2 linked regions of the Arabidopsis thaliana genome follow. The protein of the gene in region 1 purifies or fractionates together with the protein of each later gene. This does not show direct contact. Each region holds a gene or a part of one and is shown on either strand. Other genes may lie near its edges.

Evidence for each region.
Region 2: the proteins of DRT101 (region 1) and AT4G14930 fractionate together in Arabidopsis thaliana (co-fractionation; one large-scale study listed by BioGRID). This does not show direct contact.

What each region holds. Positions count from the first base shown.
Region 1 is NC_003076.8:5,978,840-5,983,677, forward strand, and holds DRT101 (phosphoglucosamine mutase-like protein), read left to right. Parts: upstream 1-1,929; 5' UTR 1,930-2,277; coding exon 2,278-3,948; 3' UTR 3,949-4,296; downstream 4,297-4,838. Other genes in the region: AT5G18065 (target of trans acting-siR480/255 protein), read left to right, coding at 429-525, 702-985. UniProt on the Arabidopsis thaliana protein: Interconverts GlcNAc-6-P and GlcNAc-1-P.
Region 2 is NC_003075.7:8,536,939-8,542,646, forward strand, and holds AT4G14930 (Survival protein SurE-like phosphatase/nucleotidase), read left to right. Parts: upstream 1-1,647; 5' UTR 1,648-1,892; coding exon 1,893-2,044; intron 2,045-2,323; coding exon 2,324-2,418; intron 2,419-2,539; coding exon 2,540-2,604; intron 2,605-2,827; coding exon 2,828-2,871; intron 2,872-3,206; coding exon 3,207-3,290; intron 3,291-3,480; coding exon 3,481-3,634; intron 3,635-3,732; coding exon 3,733-3,915; intron 3,916-4,007; coding exon 4,008-4,064; coding exon of another isoform or gene 4,065-4,153; coding exon 4,154-4,267; 3' UTR 4,268-4,940; downstream 4,941-5,708. Other genes in the region: AO1 (amine oxidase 1), read left to right, coding at 4,941-5,708.

The sequences.
Region 1 (4,838 bases):
TGACTTGGCGTTTCTCAGTGCGATTTGTGAACAGAAATGAACTTTTAGGGTTTTCACTTTTTGTTTTGGATGAATGATACTGAATCCGTTGTTTATGTTAGAGTTAATCTTTGTTAACGGAAGCTATCATCGTTAGTTTTGTTCAGTCTAAAGCTTTTTGTTCGACGATTTTTCCTCTGCAAGTAGAAACTTGAAACCATGTTTATGATTTTAGCTAGTTAGGTCTTGTTTTGTCTTTCCTTTTGCTTTATCTGCTTGATTCTGCTGGATTTTGTAAAGTGGTTATGTTTATGTCAAAAACTGAAACCATGTTTATGCTTTTAGCTAGTTAAGTCTTGTTTTGTTTTTCTTTTTTCTTTATCTGCTTGATTCTTCTGAATGTGTTCTTCTACTGGATTCTACTTCAAACCAGGGATAAGTAATCGAAGATGGATATGAATCAGCTATTCATGCAATCTATTGCAAACAGTCGTGGACTCTGTCATCCAGATTGCGAAAAAGCAAATAATGAGCGTGAAGATTATGGTAAATAATCAAATCTTTAATCTAGAGAAATTTACTTTCTTCGCATCATTTAAAGAAACGGTGATTGATTTTAACTGATTGTTTGCTTCCGTTTTTAATGTAACATGTTCAATCTAATCTTTTGAAAAAATCATATGAATTGACTGCAACGTTTTCATCTTTTTTTTGTCTTCCAGATGCGTCTCAACATGCCGCTATGGTAGCGGTGAATCTGATTAGCTCTGCACGGGTTATCCTCAAGCTTGATGCTGTGTATACTGAGTACTCAGCTCAGTATTTGGTGGATAATGCTGGGAAGGAAGACAACCAGGGAGAAATGGATCAACAAAGCTCTCAGCTCACTCTCCAAAACTTGCTTCAGTATATGGATGAAAATGTCTGGAATAAGAAGGAAGATGTGCAGGGAGAAAGGGAGCAACCACTCACTGTCAAAGACTGCCTTGAATGTGCTTTCAAGTAAGGGCTACCGAGAAGTGAGCAGTGGGCACATGTGGGATGTCCGTTCAAGGCTCCACCATTTGCCTGTCAGATTCCTCGCGTGCCCATGAAAGGAGAAGTGATTGAGACTAAGAGTTTGGATGAAGCGTTTAAGCTGTTGATTAAACAACCGGTGGGAGCAAGACTCCATGTCTTCAGTCCAGAGCTTGATAATGTTGGAGAGGTAATGTGTTGTTAGATAAATTTCGAATTTTCAGAGATCAATGACAAAGTTTTGATCTAATCTTGTTCAACTTTTTTGTTTGTGTGGTAGGGATTTTACGAGGGCCTGTCTAGCCAGTCTAGTAAGGAATCACGCTATGTTGGACTTAGGGATGTAATCATAGTTGCAGTGGATAAGTCCGAGGGAAAAACTGTTGCTACTGTGAAGATCTGTTACAAGAAGAAGACTTCATTTGTCAAAGTGCTTGTGAGCCGTATGTTTGTCCAGCTTGGTGGTGGTGAGGAGTCTCAGGTGAAAGAGCCAGCAGGTCTGCTTGTTGACTTCTGTATCCCACGCTTATCTGTCAACTAAACAAGAGCTGAGATCTTATCTGCTAGTTGTGGAACCTCTCTATGTTGGTCTTATTTTAAGAATGTTTTATCAGACTTATTTTCTGTTATCTTGAAAACCGTATGCTTGTTGTGAAACCCTGGTTGTTGTTTGAAGTTAAGATTGTTTTATGAGACTTTTATCTGTGTGTTTAGAAGTTATTGGTCGCGCTACTTTCTAAATTATGTAGTATCCATCTGCTTAAATGTGACGCCAATTGGGCATTACGCATTCTCCCAAAATCCAAGTCATGATGAAGCTTTTTTTCGTTGAAAAACTTTCTGCGATTAGCATTAACACCATTGTGTCTCACACATAACGTGACAGTCACATTTGAATATTGTAACCTCTTGAACAACTCTTTCCTCGAGGGAAAAGGTTGACCTAACTCGAGCTAAATAACGTTTGATCTATCTTCTTTCTGGATCATCTTCCCTGTAGCGCAGTTACAGAGATGAAGGCATCTTCAGGACAAGGGATCGTTAAGCCACATATCGGATGATCGTACCCAAACACTTCCTCTGATTTACTGAGAAGAGCTTGACATGAAGGCTGGTTCAAGTATGATAGTGGCACCATATATCTCTTCTTCTGGACCTGGTCAAATAAACTAATGTAACAATTACATAGTCAAATAAAAATGCTTCCTTTTATGTCAAAAAAGCTTACTTTACGTTGATTAGCTTCATTTCTCCTCCTTCTCTGTTTCTCTCACAAGTACCATGGACGAGATCCAAATAGCTTCAATCCTCAAATCATCTGAGCTTTTTCCGATTCCACAAGGCGTCAAGCTTTCGTATGGAACAGCTGGATTCAGAGGCGATGCAAAGTTATTGGAATCAACTGTGTATAGAGTTGGGATTCTCTCAGCTCTCCGATCACTTAAGCTTGGATCAGCCACCGTCGGGCTTATGATCACAGCTTCGCATAACAAAGTCTCTGACAATGGCATTAAAGTTTCAGATCCATCTGGTTTTATGCTTTCTCAGGAATGGGAGCCTTTTGCAGATCAGATCGCTAACGCATCTTCTCCTGAAGAACTCGTTTCGTTGATTAGAAAATTCATGGAGAAGGAAGAGATTGCAATCGGAGAGAATAATAAAGGTGCAGAGGTTTGGTTGGGAAGAGATACTAGACCTAGTGGTGAATCACTTCTCAGAGCTGGTGAGATCGGAGTTGGTTCAATTTTGGGATCTGTTGCGATTGACATTGGGATTTTGACAACTCCGCAATTGCATTGGATGGTTAGAGCTAAGAATAAAGGTCTTAAGGCAACTGAGAATGATTACTTTGAGAATCTATCTACTTCGTTTAGGTGTTTGATTGATTTGATTCCAAGCAGTGGAAATGATAAGTTAGAGATTAGCAAATTGCTTGTAGATGGTGCTAATGGTGTAGGTGGACAGAAGATTGAGAAGCTAAGAGGGTCTTTGAGTAATTTAGATGTTGAGATTCGTAACACAGGGAGAGATGGTGGTGTGCTTAATGAAGGTGTAGGTGCTGATTTTGTGCAGAAAGAAAAGGTTTTGCCTGTAGGATTTGGGTTTAAGGATGTTGGGATGAGGTGTGCGAGTTTGGATGGTGATGCAGATCGATTGGTTTACTTTTACATTCCTTCAGATTCTTCTGAAAAGGTTGAGCTACTTGACGGTGATAAGATTCTGTCTTTGTTTGCTCTCTTCATCAAAGAGCAACTAAATGCTCTGGAGGATGATGAAGAAAGGAAGCAGTCTCGTCTTGGTGTTGTGCAGACAGCTTACGCGAATGGTGCGTCTACTGATTACCTAAAGCATTTGGGTTTAGATGTTGTTTTTGCTAAAACTGGAGTTAAGCATTTACACGAGAAAGCAGCAGAGTTTGATATTGGAATCTACTTTGAAGCTAATGGCCACGGGACTATTCTCTTCTCGGAATCTTTCCTATCTTGGTTAGTTTCCAAACAAAAGGATCTTACGGCTAAAGGTCAGGGTGGTTCTGAAGAGCACAAAGCTGTTTCTAGACTAATGGCGGTGAGTAATCTGATTAACCAAGCGGTAGGTGATGCTCTAAGTGGAGTGCTCTTGGTTGAAGTGATTCTACAACACCTGGGATGGTCGATAGAGAAGTGGAATGAGCTATACAAGGACCTTCCTAGCAGGCAGATCAAGGTCGAAGTTCCAGATAGAACAGCGGTTGTGACCACAAGCGAAGAAACCGAGGCTCTGAGACCTATGGGGATTCAAGATGCTATTAATTCTGAAATCAAGAAGTACTCGCGTGGCAGAGCTTTTATAAGGCCATCGGGTACAGAAGATGTGGTGAGAGTATATGCAGAGGCTTCCACTCAAGAAGATGCTGATTCTTTGGCTAATTCTGTGGCTCAGCTCGTCAAAAGCTTCCTTGGTTCAAGCTAAAGAACCATCTGAATTTCTGCAAGAGTATGTTAATGGGAGATTTTTTTAATTTTCTTGTTCACCTCTTAGCTTTTACATCTTTTGTGTAACCCGAATGACAAGTTTTCTTCTCAGCTTCTTTTGATTTACTTCGTTTCTCTTCTAGCTCTTCTGCTTCTTTCTCCTCAACGTAAACCTGTAAATGCTTTACTTTCCTGAAAAGAATCAGCAACGCCATTACTCTTTTTTATTAATGAAGCTCTAAGAACAGAATGTTTCTTCTCCTGAAATTGTGTAAGGGAAAGATAGTTGTTAAGGAATCAGTAGCAGCTACTTTATAGTAAGATCATAACAATGGTGTACTTGAAGAAACGTTATGCCGTAATCTTTGGCTTAAGAGGGAACATAGCTCATGCCTTTTGTTTTCCTGTCCTATCTCTAATCAACTTGGTCTCCGACAGTGACTTCACAACAAACCTACCACAGAATCTTCTTTTACTTACAACTTTCATGTGAGATCCTATTTGTGGGTATGATAAAAGAACAACTTAACCAGTGACAGGGACTTGTTGTTATGTTGTTGAGAAACTTCAGGTCCCCACTTTAAGTTGTTATTAAATCCATTTAGACCAAAGAGATTAGAGAATAGGATCATCACTGAACATGGAGAAGAGAGAAACTTGCTGGCTTTTATTATTGACAATAGCATATGTCATATCTAAAAAACATTGAGAAGACAGTCCCTTGTGAATTGCATATGAAGTTTGTAGTTTAATGTCCCACACACTCCAATAATTATGTCATCAAAACAAATTTCATTAATGCATCTTTCCAAATGGTAAAGACAAAGCCATGTTCTCTGTTTTAGTATGTCCAACGCGTCAAAACCACAAGTTTCAATGATTTTTTCA
Region 2 (5,708 bases), on another chromosome or scaffold:
TCAATAGTTTTTTTTTTTTTTTTTTTTTTTGATGAAAAAAAAAAAAAGTTCAATAGTTTGGGTAATAAAATCTATATCTATGTGGATGTGATGAAATGACTAACATACTTCAGTTGCATGATCATGATTATGAATATAGATTCACCCATGATATTTATATGCATTTTGCAAGAAGAGTGCATATCACATTACATGTATCAAAAGATTTATAAAAAAATCGTTCACTACATTTTCTTTAAAAATCTCACCCTCAAGTAAAATATTATGTTAAAATTGTCAATCACTTGCATAGAGATAATTGGCGATGAAAGCTTTTTTAAAATGGCGATGAAGTTTGATAAAGGTTCACAGGAAAAATATTACTTGCATAATGTTAATTGATTTCACTTATGAAATAAAAAGAAAATAAGGTCGATTAAGATAATTATATGAACCGAAGAAGAGAATACAAAGGAATGCTTCGGTAAGGGTTTTCGGAATCGAATAAAGGTGACGGTTCGGTCTAAGTGGGTTATTTTAAATGTGGGTGATGGTTCTTGTCCCTTCACGTTTGGGAATAGTGGCCAAACTCGGTCTCTATAGCTGTCCGTAGACGCTCTCTTATCGTCGGATGTGTTTAGGTTTGCATCAAGTCTTCAGAGAAACTGTAAACATCTTTTTGTTATGAGGTTTGAGGGCTGATCATGACTCCGTTTTTATTGTTTTATCTGATAATTTTGTGTAATGTGACATAAATATAAGTCCAATTTTATTGTTTTTGGAAAATGATATAAAAGCGTGCATTTAGATTCTTGGGCCCATCGATGAGTGGATAAGTAATAAAAATTAGTATGGTTTTCTTATTTCCCATGACGTTTTATTTTTCGATCCATTATCAAGCTTAAGATAGGATTGGCCCAACTTTATCGTTGATTTGCAAGCTTCTGTTTTATTATTAGTTGTGACGTTGCTTTCACCAAATTTTTCTATGCAAGTTCAAAATATTGAATGGGAAAATAATTAATGGTAGTATTATACATTATGTAAAATGACTCTAATATGTTCGAAACAAACTTAGACAAAACAACAATAAACCACCATGAATGTAATAACGAATAAATCAAAACCAAACCCATAAAGTATTAATTGACATTGACTTGTTATTGCGACTTGTGTGAAAGTAAATAATACAAAGTTACAAACGGTCGATTGCGGTATGACACGTAGTAACTAGTAAGTCATCTAGAAAACGTTTTCCTCTAGATAGGTTGATGACAAAATTTTAAGGGGACAATAATTTGATGTATCTTTCAACCCCAGTTCAAAAGAGTGTAGGAATAAATGGAAATGTTTTGTTTATACATTGAACTTGACCACTTTGTTGTTGCGTGAAAATGACCACAACCTCTAACAATAAAGTTCTTTTATCTTTATCGTTAGCCGTTACATAAACATGATGATAACACTTAAAATTATTGGATGGGATGTGTACACGAAACATGTGAAAATGGAATAAGATTTTTTTTGAAAGTTATTTTTCTTTTATATTCGCATTATTACAAAAATATATTAGTGAATAATAAATGACTAGATTGACTGTTTCATTTATTTAAAGACAACATTGTGGTCAAGACAACATTGGAAATTACATAATTTAATTCATATAAACAATTTTATGAATATATTAAAATAAAAATAGTTATTATTATTATGAAACATATAATGTATCACTACAGACGATAAAGGATTTGATTTTTTCAAATGGTAAGTTCATAACTTCCCAAATTACTATAAATAAGTGTTAAAGTTAGTCATTATCAAATTAAGCCACTCCACTAATTACAAGCTCCAAAAGCTTTCTCCTTCTTTTTCTCTCTAATCTCTATTTCGTACGGATTTCTCTAACCGGAGCGATGGAGATTGACGGTGGAGATCGTATTTCCGGTGAACGACCGATCATTATGGTCACCAACGACGACGGAATAGACGCGCCTGGCCTTCGTTCTCTTGTTCGTGTCCTCGTCTCCACTAACCTCTACGATGTTCGCGTTTGCGCTCCTGATTCGTACGTTTTACTCTAATTTTTGTAGAAATGTAGCTCAAATCTCCTTTGGTATACGATCGAATCGCTCCTATATGATGGTTATGTACGAATTGAATTTCTCTAGATATCGATTTCGAGTTTCTGGACTCATTTAGAAATGCTAATCGTTTGATATAATCTTCTCGAAGAAATCTATTTATGTGTTTAGTTTTGTACATCAGATTCTTTCTCTTTTCATTGTTTTTGTTTTGCTTTGTGGAGGTACATGTGTAACTCTTACTTGTTTATGAAATTTTCCAGGGAGAAATCTGCTGTTAGTCACAGTATAATATGGAGTAGACCACTCACTGCAAAACGAGTAGAGATCGATGGAGCTACTGCTTATTCTGTTGATGGTTTGTTTCTATTGTTAATCATATGGTGTTGAATGATATGATATTGTTTGGCTTGTTTGTTACATTTGTTGGCTCTTGTCTTTTATCCTTTGGATAACATATGGTTTTGTATGCTCTGAAGGAACTCCTGCGGATTGCACTGGTTTGGGCTTATCGGAAGCACTCTTTCCTTCTCGTCCTGACCTGGTAAACCATATTATTTGTGTGTCCCTGTAAAAGCCTTCTGATGTAATGTTAGTTTTAAATGATGTGCCAATAGATCTTTCGATTTGTTTTTAATAACTTAAACTTCTGCTTAATTTTATAGGAAACATCTAAGATTTGTTGGTCTTTGTAGTGTTTTTTTTTCCTTCTATTGTCTTTTCTGGAGATTGTGAATTTGTGATGTATGATTGTTTTCTCCATGCAGGTTCTGAGTGGTATAAACGTGGGTAGCAACTGCGGTTATAACATGTCGGTGAACATTTCCTCCTCTGTTTCTCTTTGTTTTGGTTTCCTATTTCCTTACTATGTTATGTTTTTGTACAGATTATTAGGGTGCAACTGTTATTTGTCCGTTTTAAAAATTGCATTTTAAACTTTATAAAACTACCAAAATTGCTGAAACTTTGTTTAGGATTAGAACAAGATTTTGAGAGTATAGTAAGAGAAACTCTAGTTAGATTGTTTCACTGGAAACCAGATTTCTTCTATGGCCAATTCAAATTGTTATAGACCATGTTATGCTTCTATGGTTCCTGCCTGAGTTTATCAAACTAGCACTTACCTGGCTGTTAATTCCATCCCAGCGTCTATTCTGGAACTGTTGCTGGCGCTCGTGAAGCCTTCCTTTATGATGTGCCTTCTGCCTCCATATCATATGATTTTGATTGGTAAGAGCTTAATGTCTTACTTGCAGAGATTTTGCGTCTTACTTTTAAAAAGTTTCATAACATGTTTGTTATTTCTTCTATGTTTGTGTTACACTCCTAATTTTTTTTAAGCCTCCATACGGTTTTATTGATACCATCTTCTCTTTTTGCCACTAAATGTCTTCTATTTTATTCACCCTTAATGCTATAGGAAACGTGGAGAGATGAATGCTAATGATTTTGCCCTTTCTGCCCAAGCCTGCTTGCCCATTATCAACGGCATACTCGGTGCAATCAAGAACAAAACTCACCCTATGCAATGCTTTCTGAATATCGATTTGCCGACTGATATTGCTAACCACAAGGTAAGTCTCGTCGCAGCTTTCAACAGACATTCTCTAATGCCTACACCTAACTATACCTCTGAGTTTTATATGACTGACTCTTCTTTCCAAATAAAAAGGGATACAAACTAACTAGACAAGGTAAAAGCATGGGTAAAATGGGATGGAGACAAGTGGAAGAGGAAGCACAAGGGCCGAAGATGTTATCAACAATGACAATGGATACAGAGTCAGGAGTAGTCTCATCAGAGAACGACACATCTGCTCATGCGGGAAAAGATAGCCGTTTATTCAAAAGAGAGGTATATCATTAATGATTAATCACTATTGTTTCTGCTCTTACTTTCTTTTGAATTCATGAAATTGTGTACCTTCTTGCTCTGTTTGTTGTTAGTTAAGGGCAAGCATCAGTGAAGAAGGGAGTGATTCTCATTACCTAAAAGAAGGATTTGTAAGCATATCTCCCATAGTTGTCTCTTTAACTCATCTCCACTCATCCAAACTTCAAAAAGAAACAAACATTCTTTTAAAATACTGCAGATTACGGTGACGCCGCTTGGAGCTCTATCTCAGACTGATGTGGATTGCCAAAACTACTACAAAGAATGGCTTCCCAAGATTACAAACCAGTCATGCTCCTCCTCATCCCTTTGATGCTACAACATGAGAGAAAATAAAAACTCTATTAGGAAATTACCCATTGTGGACCACAATTTGTGGTAGACCTATTATTATATCAGTACCAGTTCTTTAGTTTTCTTAAGTCTTGACTTACTATTGTTGTGAGCAGCAAAATAGTTGTTGTTACAAGTCCATTAATTATCGTGAGCAGCAAAATAGATATCGAGTCCGCGACATATGTTGAAATATCAAGGATTCTTAACAAAAGCGATCAATCCATTTGAATATAATTTGTGCATTAGAGAATTGAGTTAACGTAAACAAAGTTCAAGCGCTGGCGGCAGAACCTGATATTGCAGTAACATCATCATGTGTGCAAGTGGGGGATTAGTAATCTTCATCTTGCATAATCCTTGTTTTATACTTCAAGCTATGACCTATATATTTATTATTTATACATCCGATTCGAATATTAAGTTTGCTCCCGTGAATTAGAAGGAAGAGTACATAATATGTCACGTGATAATTATTTTTCATCTTTACGTTTCTCATATGGTTCTCATTCAACGACTTTCCAAGTCGGACTATATATGTTTTTAATTATTAATCATATATAGAGACGCTCCTACAAAACACATAAACATATAGGTGCATGCATATAAATGTAAATGTATTGTTGTCGTCTACTTCAATAACAACTCCATCAATGAACACATCAATACTTGCCATACTTTTTCTCATACAATGTGTTTTCACTCTTGGTCTCCATTTCCACCCACTTGATCCCTTAACTCCCCAAGAAATCAACAAAACAAGCTTTATCGTCAAGAAATCTCATCTAGGCAACCTCAAAGATCTCACATTTCATTATCTCGACCTCGAAGAACCAAACAAGAGCCACGTCCTCCAATGGCTATCACCAAATCCCTCCAAGAAACCACCACCCCCACGTCGTCGCTCATTCGTCGTGGTTCGAGCCGGTGGTCAAACCTACGAGCTCATCATCGACCTAACCACGAGCAAGATTGCATCCTCCCGCATCTACACAGGCCATGGTTTCCCCTCATTCACATTCATAGAGCTTTTCAAAGCAAGCAAGCTTCCTCTAACTTACCCACCTTTCAAGAAATCGATTCTCGATCGATCCCTAAACATCTCCGAGGTTTCTTGCATCCCTTTCACCGTTGGTTGGTACGGAGAAACCACCACGAGACGTGAACTCAAAGCCTCTTGCTTTTACAGAGACGGATCAGTCAACGTCTTCACAAGACCCATCGAAGGAATCACCGTAACTATAGACGTCGACTCAATGCAAGTCATCAAGTACTCCGACAGATTCCGAAAGCCTATCCCTGATAAAGAAGGTAACGACTTTAGGACTAAACACAGACCCTTCCCGTTCTTTTGCAACGTCTCCGACACAGGCTTCAAGATACTCGGCAATAGAGTCAAGTGGGCTAACTGGAAATTCCAC